Anolis sagrei: one gene and its partner. The protein of the gene in region 1 purifies or fractionates together with the protein of each later gene. This does not show direct contact. Links are inferred from orthologs where the notes say so. Each region holds a gene or a part of one and is shown on either strand. Other genes may lie near its edges. The genes, in order: PPP1R7 and UBXN2A.

What was found.
Region 2: the proteins of PPP1R7 (region 1) and UBXN2A purify together in Homo sapiens (affinity purification with mass spectrometry; 3 studies listed by BioGRID and IntAct, counting the BioPlex papers as one, with this or other methods). This does not show direct contact. The link is inferred for Anolis sagrei from reciprocal best matches to the Homo sapiens genes PPP1R7 and UBXN2A.

Annotation. Positions count from the first base shown.
Region 1 is NC_090023.1:227,043,102-227,051,351, reverse strand, and holds the start of PPP1R7 (protein phosphatase 1 regulatory subunit 7), read left to right. Parts: upstream 1-4,826; coding exon 4,827-5,034; intron 5,035-8,250. UniProt on the Homo sapiens protein: Regulatory subunit of protein phosphatase 1.
Region 2 is NC_090021.1:139,271,524-139,279,852, reverse strand, and holds the start of UBXN2A (UBX domain-containing protein 2A), read right to left. Parts: upstream 3,197-8,329; 5' UTR 3,120-3,196; intron 1-3,119. UniProt on the Homo sapiens protein: Acts to repress the ubiquitination and subsequent endoplasmic reticulum-associated degradation of CHRNA3 by the STUB1-VCP-UBXN2A complex in cortical neurons.

The DNA of each region.
Region 1 (8,250 bases):
AATTAATGCCATTTGGCACCAATTTAACTGCCATGGATCAATACTATGGAGTCCTGGGAATTGTAATTTGGTACCATCCTACTTTGGAGAAGGAAAACATATTTTATAAAACGACAGCTCTCATGATTCTGTAGTACTGATCCATAGCAGTTAAAATGTGGCCAAACTGCATTAAACCTACAGTGCAAGCACATCCTGAGTGTATAGAGTATGCATACCAATGCATCCATATTCAATGGCAGAATGCCACTATTGTTTCCATCACTGAGAGTAGGATAGCCAAGAAAAGCCTTCATTCTGTCTCCCTTTTTTTGGAAGCAGCTCATTTTTAATCTGACTCTTTCTTAGGCCCTTTTCACACAGTTGCATAAAATCCCACATTATCTGCCTTGAACTGGAATATATGGCAGTGTGGACTCAGATAACCCAGTTCAAAGCAGATATTGTGGGATTTTCTGTCTTGATATCCTGGGTTATATGCCTTCATGGAAGGGCCCTTATGCTTTTTAGACAGGCTTATCCATAAATGCATGAATGTAATATATAGTAGGCTCTCATTTAAACGGCACTCAAGCAAATGGCAAAATGATAATAAAATAAATAGAATTAATTATAAAAGCAAATAAAGGCAATTTATAACACAGTAAAAACAGTAAAATTGTGTTCTATTGAGTTTGTCTTTTATTTGCTTCTAATTACTGTATTTCAACATGAAGTCAATACAGAGTTTATGGCATTGGTATAGTATGGTGAGCCTTTTAAATATATAACTCTCAACCAACCAGAAACTATATTTATCCGGCATGGGTGCGTATTAACTGAGGGCACTTCCACACAGCCATATAACCCAGAATATCAAGACATAAAAAAATCCCACAATATCGGCTTTGAACTGGGTTATCTGGGTCCACACTGCCATATAACGTGTCCAGAGGAGGGCAACTAAAATGATCAAGGGTCTAGAGAACAAGCCCTATGAGGAGAGGTTTAAAGAGCTGGGCATGTTTAGCCTACAGAAGAGAAGGCTGAGAGGAGACATGATGAAGGCCATGTATCCATATGTGAGGAGAGGTCATAGGGAGGAGGGAGCACACTTGTTTTCTGCCGGCCTGGAGACTAGGACGCAGAACAATGGCTTCAAATGGATGTCGAGATATTGGGAATATAGATATTTATACATATATTGTATATACATTAGAAGCACTGAAGTATAGAAAAATCAGGTTCTCTCTGTATGAGGAAGCCAAGCTGACAGGACAGAGGAATGCTGAAGGAGATCTGTGTTGAAAGGGGAGGAGAAGGGGGGGTATGTTATCTATACACTACAAAGACTAATATAGCTTAGCACAGGCCATATCTTCTTACTTCTAAAAGTAAGGAGTTTCTCTCCCTCCCTCCTGACAGGTCAAAAGTAAGCCCCTGGTGGATCTATGTAAGCTGAATTCTAGTTATCTCTATTGCTGTAAGCTGCTTTAGAAAAAAAATATAGAGACATGCCCCTTGCATGTAGGAAGATATAATTTTATATGTCTATGATGCAAAAGTGACATAGTGATGATTTTATGTATGTAGAAGCATGTTTCTTTGTTTACCTGCATTTGAAGATGTATATAAGGTAAAGTCAATCCTTTATTGGGGCTCTAGTTGGCTTTTGGACGTGATTCCACGCCAGGGTCTCAGCTGAAAATAAACATACCTTTTCCGCCTCAAACAAAGGATCGCTCTTGGTATTATCTCTCCTATCAGCCATAACAAAACTACAGGAAAGGAGATTCCACCTGAACATTAGGAAGAACTTCCTGAGTGTGAGAGCTTTTCAGCAGTGGAACTCTCTGCCTTGGACTGTGATGGAAGCTCCTTCTTTGGAGGATTTTAAGCAGAGGCTGGATGGCCATCTGTCAGGGGTGCTTTGAATGTGATTTTCCTGCTTCTTGGCAGGAGGTTGGACTGGATGGGCCATGAGGTCTTTTCCAACTCTATAATTCTATATTCCAGTTCAAAGCAGATAATGTTACTAACAGAAGCGGCGCTCGGGGAGCATACTACTCCTCTGTTGTGCCAGCTCCACTGGCTGCCAGTTTGCTTTGGGCACAATTCAAAGTGCTGGCTTTAGCCTATAAAGCCCAACTTACCTGTCCAAATGCATCTCCTCCTATGAACCAACTAGGACGTTAAGATCATCTGGGGAGGCCCTGCTCTCGATCCTGCCTGCGTCACAAATACATTTGGCGGGGTGAGAGACAGGGCCTTCTCAGTGGTAGCCCCTCAGCTCTGGAACACCCTTCCAAAGGACATCAGATCAGACCCCTCGCTTTTAACATTCCGGAGGAAAGTTAAGACCTGGCTGTTTGAGCAAGTGTTTGGAAATCTTTAAGGCAGTGTAATAGACATAGGAATATGGAACGATTGGATGACAAGACTGGACCTTGTTTTTAACTAGGAGACGGAAATGTTTTATTGATCTTATTATGATTATATATTATATAGAATCATAGAATCCTAGAGTTGGAAGAGACCTCATGGGTCATCCAGTCCAACCCCCTGCCAAAAAGCAGGAATATTGCATTCAAAGCATCCCTGACAGATGGCCATCCAGCCTGTTTAAAAGTTTCCAAAGAAGGAGCCTCCGCCACACTCCGGGGCAGAGAGTTCCACTGCTGAACGGCTCTCACAGTCAGGAAGTTCTTCCTCATGTTCAGATGGAATCTCCTTTCTTGTAGTTTGAAGCCATTGTTTCATGTCCAAGTCTCCAGGGAAGCAGAAAACAAGCTTGCTCCCTCCTCCCTGTGGCTTCTTCTCACATATTTATACATGGCTATCATGTATCCTCTCAGCCTTCTCTTCTTCAGGCTAAACATGCCCAGCTCCTTAAGCCGCTCCTCATAGGGCTTGTTCTCCAGACCTTTTATCATTTTAGTCACCCTCCTCTGGACACATTCCAGCTTGTCAATATCTCTCTTGAATTGTGGTGCCCAGAATTGGACACAATATTCCAGGTGTGGTCTAACCAAGGCAGAATAGAGGGGTAGCATTACTTCCCTAGATCTAGACCAGGGGTCCTCAAACTAAGTCCCAGGGGCCGAATGCGGCACTCCAAGGTCATTTACCCGGCCCTCGCTTAGGGTCAACCTAAGTCTGTAATGATTTGAAAGCACACAACAACAACAATCCTATCTCATCAGCCAAAAGCAGGCCCACACTTCCCATTGAAATACTAATAAATTTGTATTTGTTAAAATTGTTCTTCATTTTAATTATTGTATTGTTTTTAAGGTTTTTTTGCATTACAAATAAGATATGTGCAGTGTGCATAGGAATTCATTCATTTTTTTCTAAATTATAATTCGGCCCTCCAACAGTTTGAAGGACTGTGACCTGGCCCTCTGTTTAAAAAGTTTGTGCACCCCTGATCTAGACACTATGCTCCTATTGATGTAGGCCAAAATCCCATTGGCTTTTTTTGCTGCCACATCACATTGTTGGCTCATGCTTAACTTGTTGTCCACGAGGATCAAGATCTTTTTAATATGTTAATGTTTTAAATGTTTTATGTTGTTTGGGCATTGAATTTTGCCTCTGTAAACCGCCATGAGTCGCCCACGGGCTGAGAAAGGCGGTATACAAATATAGTAAATAAATAAACAAACAAACAACCAATAAATAAATGTGGGATTTTTTTTTCAGCTGTGTGGAAGGGGCCTGAGAATCTGCTCTATATGGCAATGAGAAACAACAGCATAAAAAAAAAACATTAACACCAGAACATGTCGCCCACAGGCTTTTTATTATTATTATTTCGTGTCAGAACAGCCAGTCAATTATATTACATTTCTAACAGAACAAAGCAAACAAACAGACATAATACAAAATTTGTGAGTTTGGTAGTTGATTAAATGTCCTTTGACCAGTATCTGGCCACTTGGAGTGCCTCTGATGTTGCCGCAAGGAGGTCCTCCATTGTGCATGTGGCAAGGCTCAGGTTGCATTTGCAGCAGGTGGTCAGTGGTTTGCTCCTCTCTGCACTCGCATGTCGAGGATTCCACTTTGTAGCCCCATTTCTGAAGGTTGGCTCTGCATCTCGTGGTGCCAGAGCGCAGTCTGTTCAGCGCCTTCCAAGTCGCTGAGTCCTCTGTGTGCCCAGGGGGGAGTCTCTCATTTGGTATCAGCCATTGGTTGAGGTTCTGGGTTTGAGCCTCCACTTTTGGACTCTCACTTGCTGAGGTATTCCAGCGAGTGTCTCTGTAGATCTTAGAAAACTATGTCTAGATTTAAGTCGTTGACGTGCTGGCTGAGAGAAGCCTCCTCGCAGGATTGCAAGACATCCGGGCGTCCCCTGGGCAACGTCTTTGTAGACGGCTGATTCTCTCACCACAGAAGCGACCAGCATGCCCACAGGCTGAGAAAGGCGGTATACAAATATAGTAAATAAACAAACAAACAAACAAATATAGGATCTTATTCAGCTGTGAGGAAGTGGCCTGAGAGTCTGCTCTGTATGGCAATGAGAAACAACAGAATAAAAAAACATTAACACCAGAACAGGAAAAAAATCCTAGATGTCCCCATCAATCGCACGTACAAACCATCCACCAAAATCCCAATATCTGGAGCAAGAAGCATCGCTAGTAGGAGCTGATGATCTTCCCATGGTATGTTACTAATGTAATCCCCCTCCTTTACTTTATATTACAGTACCATATAATATAATATATATTTTGGTGATTTAAACCCTTTCACGCTATGCAAGAGGCGACAATGCTTGGCTCCTTGCTACTGAATCCCACCACCAGCCTTGAAATCCCTGGGAAAGAAAAACTACATTTCCCATGGGGCGGCGGGGCTCCGCGCATGCGCCGGCACTCCCAAGGGAACCTCTGCGGCGAAGTGGCGCTCCCGATTGGCTGGAGCCCTCCCCGATGTGGCTTCCCATTGGCTGCCCGCGAAACTGGGGCCGATGCCGGAAGGAGGAGGAGGAGGGACTGCCAAGCGTTATGGCGGCGGCTGAGTCTGAGGGCGCGCAGGAGATGATGGAGGGTGAGTGCATGCTGCCTCTGTCCCAGGATCTCATCCCAGATTGTCTTCTTATTCCAGATTATCAGGCAGTGGAGACCCAGGGCCCTTCCACACAGCCATAGAACCCAGAATATCAACATTATCTGCTTTGAACTGGGTTATCTGAGTCCACACTGCCAGATAATACAGTTCAATGTGGATTTTGTACAGCTGTGTGGAAGAGGCCTCAGATGGGAGCGAGGGTGCATCTGTACTGTGAAATTAATGAGGGTTGACACCGCTTTAGCCACAATGGCTCAATGCTGTGGGATCATAGGAGTTTAGTAAGACCTTTAGGCTTCTCTGCCAAAGAGGGCCAGTGCCTCACTAAACTACAACTCCCAGCATCACATAGCATTGAGCCATGGCTGTTCTAGCGAGATTAACCCGCTTTAATTCTGCATTTTTGTGCTGGGGCAGCTCCTTTCATTGCCTGCCACCATCTCTACATCATGCATGGGCAAACTTGGGCCTTCTAGGTGTTTTGGACTCCAACTCCCACCATTCCTAACAGCCTCAGGTCTTTTCCTTTTCCCCCTCAGCTGCTTAAGCGGCTGAGGGGGAAAAGGAAAGGACCTGAGGCTGTTAGGAATGGTGGGAGTTGGAGTCCAAAACACCTGGAGGAAGGCCCAAGTTTGCCCATACCTGGTCTACACTGTAGAATCGATGCGTTTTGACATCACTTCAACTGTTAATGACTCAATTCTATGACAGCCTGGGAGCCGGAGTTTTGCAAGGGCTTAATTAATCCTTCTCTACTTAAAGAGAAATGCAGTAGTTCTCCTTGCATTAGGTAGATAGTACTCCTGTTGTTTCTTCTGCTGTTGCTGTTTCTGCATTTCGGGCGCATCCCCACTGCAGAATTAATGCAGTTTGAGACCACTTCAACTCTCCTGGCTCAATGCTATAGAATCCTAGGATTTCCAGGACCCTTCCACACAGCCCTATACCCCAGAATATCAAGGCAGGAAATCCCACATTATCTGAGTGTGGACTCGGATAACCTAGTTCAAAGCAGATATTGTGAGATTTTCTGGCTTGATATTCTGGGATATAGGGCTGTGTGGAAGGGCCCCCAGTTTGAGGAAACACCAGCACTCTTTTCAAAGAAGGATTACTAGGATGATGATAATATGTTGTGTATTTATATGTTTTCAGTAATTGCAATTGATCTATTTTAAGTTATGTTAATTTGACCTATGTTTTGTTTTAACTGTTACTGTTAAACTGTTTAAACCGTCCTGAGTTCCTTCCGGGAGAGGAGGTGGGATATAAATAAAACTTATTACTATTTGATACACAACAAGATTAGTACACAGCAAACATGATCACTATGCTGGCTTTTGTATTGGATCACACCTTGGACACTTCCCAAGTGTCTTGGACTATGTGATGTATCGGCAAATAATGCATGCAGATCTGAGTTGGGTGACCTTTTAGTTGGCAGATGGTGATTTTGTCAGCGCCAATTGTTTTTAAGTGCTGGTCAAGGTCTTTAGGCACTGCACCCAGTTTGTCAATCACCACTGGGACCACCGTTATTATGAATAATAAACATTATTATTATTATTATTATTTTACTGACACAAAAACAGTATGTCACAGCAAACGAGATATATATGCTGGATTTTGTATCACAAAATCACAAGTTGAACACTTCCCAAGCGTCTAGGACTGTGTGATGTATTTTCGAATGTTGCGTGCAGATTTAAGTAAAGTGGTCTTTTGCAATTGACAGATTGTGAATTTGTCAATGTTTATTATTTCCAAATGCCAGCTGAGATCTTTTGGCACAGCACCCAGTGTGCCGATAACCACTGGGACCACCTGTACTGGTTTATGCCAGAGCCTTTGCACTTTGATTTTGAGGTCTTGATAATGGCTTATTATTATTATTATTATTATTATTATTATTATCCTTCTCTGTGAAGGAGTGTTGGTGCTTTCCCAAACTAGAATACTTGTTGTTGTTGTAATTGTTGTTGTTGTTATTTCTTACCTGCTGTAATGGCAGGTTACAGCACAGATAAGAACACACAACCATTACGTAAAATACATATATTGAAACATAGTTCAATGAAATACATAGGAGCCCCCGGTGGCGCACTGGGTTAAAGCCCTGTGCCAGCAGGACTGAAGACCGACAGGTCGCAGGTTCGAATCCTGGGACAGGTGGATGAGCTCCCTCTATCAGCTCCAGCTCCTCATGCGGGGACATGAGAGAAGCCTCCCACAAGGATGATAAAACATCAAAAATCATCCGGGCGTCCCCTGGGCAACGTCCTTGCAGACGGCCAATTCTCTCACAACAGGATGCTCCTGACACGACAAAAAAAGAAAGAAAAAGAAATACATATCTTAAAATACACAGAACAAAGATTAAAATATAGCGAACACAAGATGCGAGTTAAAAAATTAATGACTGCATAAAACTACAAATCGCATGATTCCATACCATTGAGATGAGGCTGCTAAAGAGCAGCCAGACTGCATTAATTCTCCAGTGTAGGTGCACCTGGGGAAGATTTTTAGGAAGAAGCTGCATTTGACAGCTTCGCCCGAAGTCACACAATTCACTGCCTCCTAGAATGTCAACTTTAGCAGCTACTGACTCATAGCTAAGGCAACTCCTACCCATCTTTTATAGTCCTTTGCTGATTCTTCTTTATTTCCCATGAGTTGCTTCCCAAATTGAACCCTCTACCAGGCATGGGAAAACTTCAGCCCTCCCGGAGTTTTGGACTTCAAATCCCACATTTCCTAACAGCCGACTGTTAGGAATTGTGGGAGTTGAAGTCCAAGACACCTGGAGGACCTAAGTTTGCCCATGCCTGGGCTAGCCCTAACTTCAGCCTTTGCCTGCTGAGATTTACCTTGAAAAATAACAAATGGGATACTTTGTTACAGGGCAGTATAGAGACTAAAACCCAAATACTTGGTTATATATTCTTTTCTCCAAACTCAATGAGTTTGGAGAAATTTGTTCTTGATCATTATGCTTTTATTTACTACATTTCTCTTCTGTCCTTTGTCAAAGAATGGCATCTTCACTGTATAGTGGGCCCTTGATATCTGCTAGCATTTTATTCAAGGATCTCTCATGGGACCCAGAATCTGTGGATGCTCAAGTTATATATCATTATAAACATTGGCACAGTAAAATCATTAGTGTCATATAAAATGAAAAAAACAGGATTT
Region 2 (8,329 bases), on another chromosome or scaffold:
GACGACGACGGATCTGGACCAAATTTGGCACACAGACCCAACATGGCCAACTGTGAATACTGGCAAAGTTTAGGGAGGATTGATCCATGATTTTGGGAATTGTAGTTCACCCACCTCCTTATGCATTTTCGAATGACAGCATTCATTTTTAAAAAAGCAAAGATTTGCTTTTTTCTAATAGCATTAAAACTTACCTAAGTGATATTACCTAACATTCAAAAACGAACAATGCCTTTTTGAAACAACCCGAGCATTGCTATTATATTATATAAGAGCCAAGATCAAAACATACAATCAGCACAGTCCTCAGAAGAAACAGATTTCCTGACCTATTTGGAGACCACAAAGTTGAATTCAACAATGACACGCACACTCATACACATACACAGTGCGAGTGTATGTTCTTCAATCTTAATTCCATCCCTTAAAACTGATCCAAAAATGAGTGTTGGACTATGACTCTGGAAACTTGGCTATGGAAACCCACTGGTGACCTTGAGCAAGTCACACTCTCTCAGCCTCAGGGGAAGGCAAAGGTCACACATTTTGCCAAGAAGTCCCCTTGATAGTGTTGCCACTGAACACAAAACAACAACAAATGCCATGCCCATTTGACAGAAACACTGAATTCCACAGAACTAGTATTGTGAGTGCCATCGACCAACAGATCACTGTGCCTCACTGTGCGGTTTTTTGTCTCACTGTGAGGTTGATAAGGGCTTAATAATAATTACCAGACCATTAATCACATTGAGGTCACTTCTTCCCAAGACTAATCGATCCCTGCTCTACTGGGGGTCTGTTTATAAGCAAACAGGCTTTGGGTCAGACTGCTTTTGGTTTAAGTGATGCCATTATTCAACAGGCGAGAAGGATGGTGCGACTTATGGCGGCCCCATTAATTTAACAGGGTTTTATTTGGGGCCCTTCTATACTGACATATAATCCAGATTATCAAAGCAGATAATCCACAATATCTGCTTTGAACTGGTTTATCTGAGGGCCCTTCCACACAGCACTATATTCCAGAATATCAAGGCAGGAAATCTCATATTATCTGAGTGTGGACTCAGATAACCCAGTTCAAAGCAGATATTATGGGATTTTCTGCCTTGATATTCTGGGGTATAGGGCCGTGTGGACCCTGAATCCACACTGCAATATATTCCTGTTCAAAGCAGGTAATGTGGGATTTTATTCAGCTGTGTAGAAGGGGCCTTAGACAAGGAATACTAAGATATGGTGTTGGCAACTCCTTCCTCTGAAAGACAGCCTGGTATTCGTTGCCCATCTCCCATCCAAGCCTTAACCAGGGATAAGCCATCTTATGTTCCAAGATCAGATGGGATCTGCTCCCTTACAATGGAAAGCCAGTTTCAGGCAGAATCAGAATCCCCTTTGAACTTTGATGGAATTTGAGCCCATATAGAATTCAGATTATCTGCTCTGAACTGGATTGGATGGCAGTGTAAACTCATATAATCCAGTTCAAAGCAGATGTGGATTGTCTGCTCTGATAGTCTGGATTATAAAGCAGCATAGAAGGGACCTCAGTCTGACCATATGCCTGTGTTTCCTAAAACTCTGGTCCTCCCAGTGCTTGGACTTCAACTCCCAGGATCCCTGAACAAGCTGGCTGGGGATTCTGGGAGTTGAAGTCCCAAACCTTGCAGGCCTAAAGGCTGGGAATCACTGCAGGAGGCCAACAGCATTGGGATCAAAACAACTGCAGAAGAGAATAGCTTCAGTCTGGGTATTTCCACACAGCCCTATATCCCAGAATATCAAGGTGGAAAATCCCACTATATCTGCTTTGGACTTGGTTATCTCAGTCCACACTCAAATAATGTGGGATTTTCCACCTTGATATTCTGGAATATAGGACTGTGTGGAAGGGCCCTTGGTTGCCCAAAGGTGGAGTTTGACACCACTTTAACTACCATGGCTAAGCCCTGTCTAAACTGCCATAAAAATCCAGATGATCTGCTTTGAACTGGATTATATGGTAGGGTAGATTCAGACCCCTTCCACACAGCTGAATAAAATCCCACATTTTCTGCTTTGAACTGGAATATATGGCAATGTGGACTCAGATAACCCAGTTCAAAGCAGATATTGTGGGTTATTCTATGTTGATGTTCTGGGTTACATGGCTGTGTGGAAGGGTCCTGGGATATTGGGCAGTGTAGATCCAGCCTAATAATAATAATAATAATAATAATAATAATAATAATAATAAATCCTAGACACTTGGGAAGTGTCCAAAGTGTGATCCAATTCAACAGCCAGCAGAGTGTCTGCTGAGGACTCATCTTGTTGTGTTTCAAATAACAACAACAACAACAACAACAATAATGGGTAAAGGTTTACCCTTGACATTGGGGCCTCTTCCACACAGCTGAACCAAATTATTTGCTTTTAACTGGTATATATGTCAGTATGGACTCAGATAACTCAGTTCAAAGCAGATATAGTGGGACTTTCTTGATATTATGGGATATATGGCTGTGTGGAAGGGCCCCATGAAAGAGCTTCTTCTGAATCCCACCCTTGGAAGAGATACAGGTCTACACTGCCATATAAAATCCAGTTTATCAAAGCAGACAACACACATGATCTGCTTTGAACTGGATTATATGAGTCTACACTGCCATATAATCCAGTTCAAGGCAGATATAATCAGGATGGCATACTTTGATACTCTAAATTATATAGCAGTGTAGATCCAGCCTCAGTGCTACAGACTCCTGGGGATTATTGTTTGGAGGGAAGGCTAAAAGGGCCTTGCAGAACTACAGCTCCCATAGTATGGAGTTAAAGCGGTGTCAAACTGCATTAGAGTGTAGAAGATGCACCTAGAAGGCAGCGTGGGGGCTGACTTTGGAGTCAATAAGGATAGTTTCAAGAAATGTCCCCAAATCTTTGGAATCGTTTGCAAACCCTCCTTGCCCAAGATGATGACCCTGCTCCAGCCTTGCGCCATGGCGGGGCGAGGGACGCCCCTTTCCTAAACCCTTTCCAACAACTTGGCCGCAGATCGGGACTCCCTCCAAGGCTGTTTCCCCTCCACCCCCGGCTCCTTCCCAAATCCGAAGAGTCTCCCCCAAATCCAGACTTACCACCCCCAAAACACCAGAGTTTCACCAGCGGCGAGGCAGCCTCTCAATTGCACTGCGTTGCCGGTAGGCGCGCTTGGCTTCCCGCCCACAAAAGGGGCGGGGCGCCGGGGAAGGAGCGGATTGGCTCCAGCGGGCACGTCACCTGCCACTCATCGCCCTTCCCGCCTGAGATGCAAATTAGCTACATAATAACACAATTTGCTCATGCCTGGTGTAGAAGCATCCAAAGATAAGCAAAAAAGATGCAAGTTAGTTGTACATAACACAGTTTGCTCATGCCTGGTGTAGACGCATCCTAAGATAGATAGCAACATTGGAAAAAATGTTCTGTTCCTGGTTTGAAAGTCTTATTTCCTGTTTATTTGTGTGGCACTTACTTTGAAAGTAGTTGTTCTACTCCAGAAACTTTGTTTTTGTAGTTGCCATAAACTAGGTTGAATTGGTTAGGACTCAGTGAGATACTCATTGAAAAACTATAGCAAAAAGTACTTAAAGTTTTCACAGTGTAATGAACTTTCCGCATGTTTTTATGATAGAACCAATTAGGAACCAATTAAGAAATTACATTTATAACCTAGGAACAAAAATCGTGCAATCTGGATTTTATATGGCAGTGTAGATGTTGTTGTTCTTTCGTTCAGTCGTTTCCGACTCTTTGTGACCTCATGGACCAGCCCACACCAGAGCTCCCTGTCGGCCGTCACCTCCCCCAGCTCCTTCAAGGTCAGTCCAGTCACTTCAAGGATGCCATCCATTCATATTGCCCTTGCTCGGCCCCTCTTCCTTTTTCCTTCCATTTTCCCCAGCATCATTGTTTTCTCTAAGCTTTCCTGTCTCCTCAAGATGTGGCCAAAGTACTTCAACTTTGCCTCTACTATCCTTCCCTCCAACGGGCAGTCGGGCTTTATTTCCTGAAGTATGGACTGGTTAGATCTTCTTGCGATCCAAGACACTCTCACAACTTTCCTCCAGCACCACAGTTCAATAGCATCTATCTTCCTTCACTCAGCCTTCCCTATGATCCAAGATGAGGCTTAGAATGAGCCAATAAACTCCTCTGGTGTCTGTGGGCCCTGTTGCACTACAGAACAGGAATAACCCTCTGACTTCAAAACACCACACGTTGAGTAGGAAAACAATCCTTTTTATTGAAGATAAGTAAAAGCAGCAAGGTAAAAAAAAACACTTTAAGAGAATAGATAAATCCAATTAGGTAGGAAGATAAGCAGGAACAAATTATTCCAAGGTAGGGTTCAGCAAAGTTCAAAACAAAGTCCAGACTTCTCTAATAAAATCCAAAGAACCAGGAAAACATTGATCCGAAACACGAGTATTTAATCACAAGAGATAAAGAGTCAAACCATAAACAAGAAATCCTTAAACATTAATCTTCCAAGCAAGGCTTCCATAAGACAAGAGCAAGAACTTAGCAGGATTCGAAAATGATGCTTCATTTGACTATATTTCCCACGGTTGGAACATTATATCCCCTCGTTAAGCCATTCTAAGTACTCAGAAATTGGTTTTGTTTTCCCTGAATGCCTCTCATCCTTCTCTCTCAAAGCCTGGCAGAACGGCGAAAGCCTTGGCCAAGCTGTCTGTTTTGGCTAATTTTCACGCGGCTGTCTACCTGCTCATTCGTTTCTCCAGCTGCCAAGTTGTTTTCAAGCCCCAAATCCTGGGAACTCTCCGGGAGCAATTCAGGGAGTAAACTATCATCCCTATACCCCGTAGGAACATTCTCATGGGAAACTACACTTTGAACCAGTGTCACTATGTTATTCTCTGCATTAATATCATTGACCAGACCATCGCCATCTTGACTCTCATTGACATCATTTCCCACATATAAAGCACCTTGATCTTGAAACACAATCACAGGCTGTACTCCAACAGACCCTTCCACACAGCCATCTAACACAGAATATTGTGGCGTAATGTAAAATAAATCACATGTAGTTCACATTTCATCAGTCCACACATATGCCACACAGGTGATCAACAAAAGAACAAGCAGTTTACTCTTCGTAATTCAGAACAACATATTTATAATAATGTGATCAGTTGCATCGACTCACATACTGTCCTTAAATGAGAGGTTTAAAATGGTCTTTATTTGTTCATGTGGAGAATTTTCCTCCAGCAGTTTAAGAAGCAAGAGCACACTCCAGAATTCTCTCTCTCTCTCTGCTTCTCTGCAAGCATTTGCATAGCTCAAGCCTGAAAATGTAACAGTATCCAAAAGTCCCAGGCTCAGCCAGCTTCCCGGGCATAGCCCGACCAATAATCAATCAACCAAGCAAGGCAGAAAATCCTACAATATCTATTTCAAACTGGATTATCGAGTCAATACTGCCATATAATCCAGTTCAGTGTGGATTTTATACAGCTCTTTGGAAGGGGCCTCAGATAAACCAGCTCAGAGCAGATATAATGTGGATTATCTGCTTTGATTATTTGGATTATATGGCAGTGTAGAAGGGGCCTTGGTGGACAGAGTGGAAAGACCTGCATTTGTGTTAAATAGTCCACAATACAGCGAGGGCTGCAGTGTTATTTGAAAGCCCCATTACCTTGGATTCATTGAAAAAAACAACAGGGGTAAAAAATGCAAACAGTATTTTTTGTTCAGCCTCCTAAATGTTATATATGACCATTTTCTTTATACAGGGTGTATGGAGATGCTGAATTTGATTCCACACTTGATAAAAATTGCCAACAGTAAGAAAAATGTAGGAACTCTTTTGAGCCTATAAGCTATTTTCTGGACATCATTTATTGTACCTGGAAAATCACAGTGACATGAGAGCCACTGAATGAATGTACAGTGTTTGGTTAACTGCAAAATTTCCGCTGAGATCAACAGCGATAAGGAAAGGATTTAGCAGAGTAGCGGAATTTTCCTTCCCACAATGACTCATATATGAACATGTGCTTTATGGCTTTTCAGCAATGGTTGAATACTGCATGTATGAAATGTTAATATTATTCTTAGAGTTCATTCTGTTTTAGCCCTGCAAAGGAGGAAAGGTGAGGTAAAAACACCTATAAATTTTAAGGGAGGATATAAATAATAATAATAATAATAATAATAATAATAATAATAATAATAATAATGGTTATTGGAGTATGTATTTAATCGGAAAAGCAATTGATAACCCTGAAACTCAGGCGCCTTCTACACTGCCATATAATCTGGATTATCAAATCAAATAATCCACATTGCTTTGAACTGGATTATATGAGTCTACCCTGCCATATAATCCAGTTCAAAGCAGATTTTATCTGGATTTTATATGGCAGTGTAGATGGGGCAATATGGAAGATTCTCAGATCCCTTCTACACCACCATATAATCCATATTATCAAAACAAATAATCCACATTGTCTGCTTTGAACTGGATTGATTACTTACTTATTTACTTAGGCAATCCTTCGTTGGCCGAGTAGGATAGTAATCTAGGATCAATATTCTTGTGGATCCATAGGTGACTGTGGAGCCCTATTCTTGCCCCGCATCTTCTCCCGCAGTGAGGGCATTGGTTTCCAGGTGGAAGGCAGTCTCGGTCAGGGTTGCTTGATGTGCCTTCCTCTTGGCACGTTTCTCTCTTTCACCCTCAATTCGTGCCGCTTCAAATTCTGCAGCACTGCTGGTCACAGCTGACCTCCAGCTGGAGCCCTCAAGGGCCAGGGCTTCCCAGTTCTCAGTGTCTATGCTAGAGTTTTAAAGGTTGGTTTTAAGCCCATCTTTGAATCTCTTTTCCTGTCCACCAACATTCCGTTTTCCGTTCTTGAGTTCGGAGTAGAGCAGCTGCTTTGGGAGACGGTGGTCAGGCATCCGGACATCCAGCGGAGTTGGTGGCGGAGGACCATTGCTTCGATGCTGATGGTCTTTGCTTCTTCCAGCATGACATTTGTCCACCTGTCTTCCCAAGAGATTTGCAGGATTTTTCAGAGGCAGTGCTGATGGAATCATTCCAGGAGTTGCATGTGACGTCTATAGATAATCCACGTTTCGCAGGCATATAGCAGGGTTGGGAAAACAATAGCTTTATAACCAAGCACCTTGGTATCCCTACGGATGTCCTGGTCCTCAAACACTCTCTGCTTCATTCAGAAAAATGTTGCACTCGCAGAGCTCAAGCGGTGTTGTATTTCGGTGTCGATGTTGACTTTGGTGGAGAGGTAGCTGCCAATCTGGATTTTATATGTCAGTATAGAAGGGGCCTCACCACAGTCAATGTAGGCATCTTCTACACTGCCATATAATCCAGATTATCAAATCAGAAATCCACATTTTCTGCTTTGAACTGGATTATTTGAGTCTACACTGCTATATAATCCAGTTCAAAGCGGATAATCTGGATTTTAAAAGGCAGAGTAGAAGGGGCCTCAATGACTTTTCCAACTGGTCAGGGATTAATTCCTTTTTGAGTGGAAGGCTTTATTATTGGCCAGGAAGGATGGCCCCTGGGTGATTATGCCAACTGCCTGGAGAGATAATGGGATTAGGCCAGGGTTCCCCAGGGTTGGTGCTTGTGTAACTGTGTACTTGGGTCAAAGCTTGTCTTTGGATGTCAGATGGGCTGCATTTTTTGGGGGAAAGTTAATCCTGAGATGTCAGCCAGTTGGACCCCTCATGACATCTTTCTTGGCCATGGGTTTTGGGGTCTTTTGGGGGTCTCAGGTTTCAATAACATGCCCTCTAGTACCTCTTCACCAGGACCATCACCCTGTCATGGTGATCGGGCTTGCGCGTTCCAGTTAATCTATGGATTAAGCCGTTGGGGGTCATGTACTGGTCAGCACCCAGCAGAAGTCAACCACAGAACCATGCTGGATGACCAAGGGAAGATCAACTGCAGAATTCCTGCATTTTGGAACCAAATGGTTCAATACTATGTAATCATGGGAGTTGTCATGTTACAAGGTCTTTAGCCTTCTCTGTCAAAGACTGTTGGGGCCTCATCAAACTACAATCTCAGGATTCCAAAGCATTGTGCCTTGGAAGTTAGTGGTATCAAGCTGCATTAATGCTATAGTGTGTAGACACAGCAGTATAGACCGATCTATTTCAGTTCAAAGCGGATAATCTGGGATCAGATTCTGGGATTTAGGGCAGTGTAGATCCAGCCTGAGAAACAAGGATTCAACAAGCATTAATTTGCTTTAAAACAAAATACAGGTAGGAGCTCAGTACAACTATGACA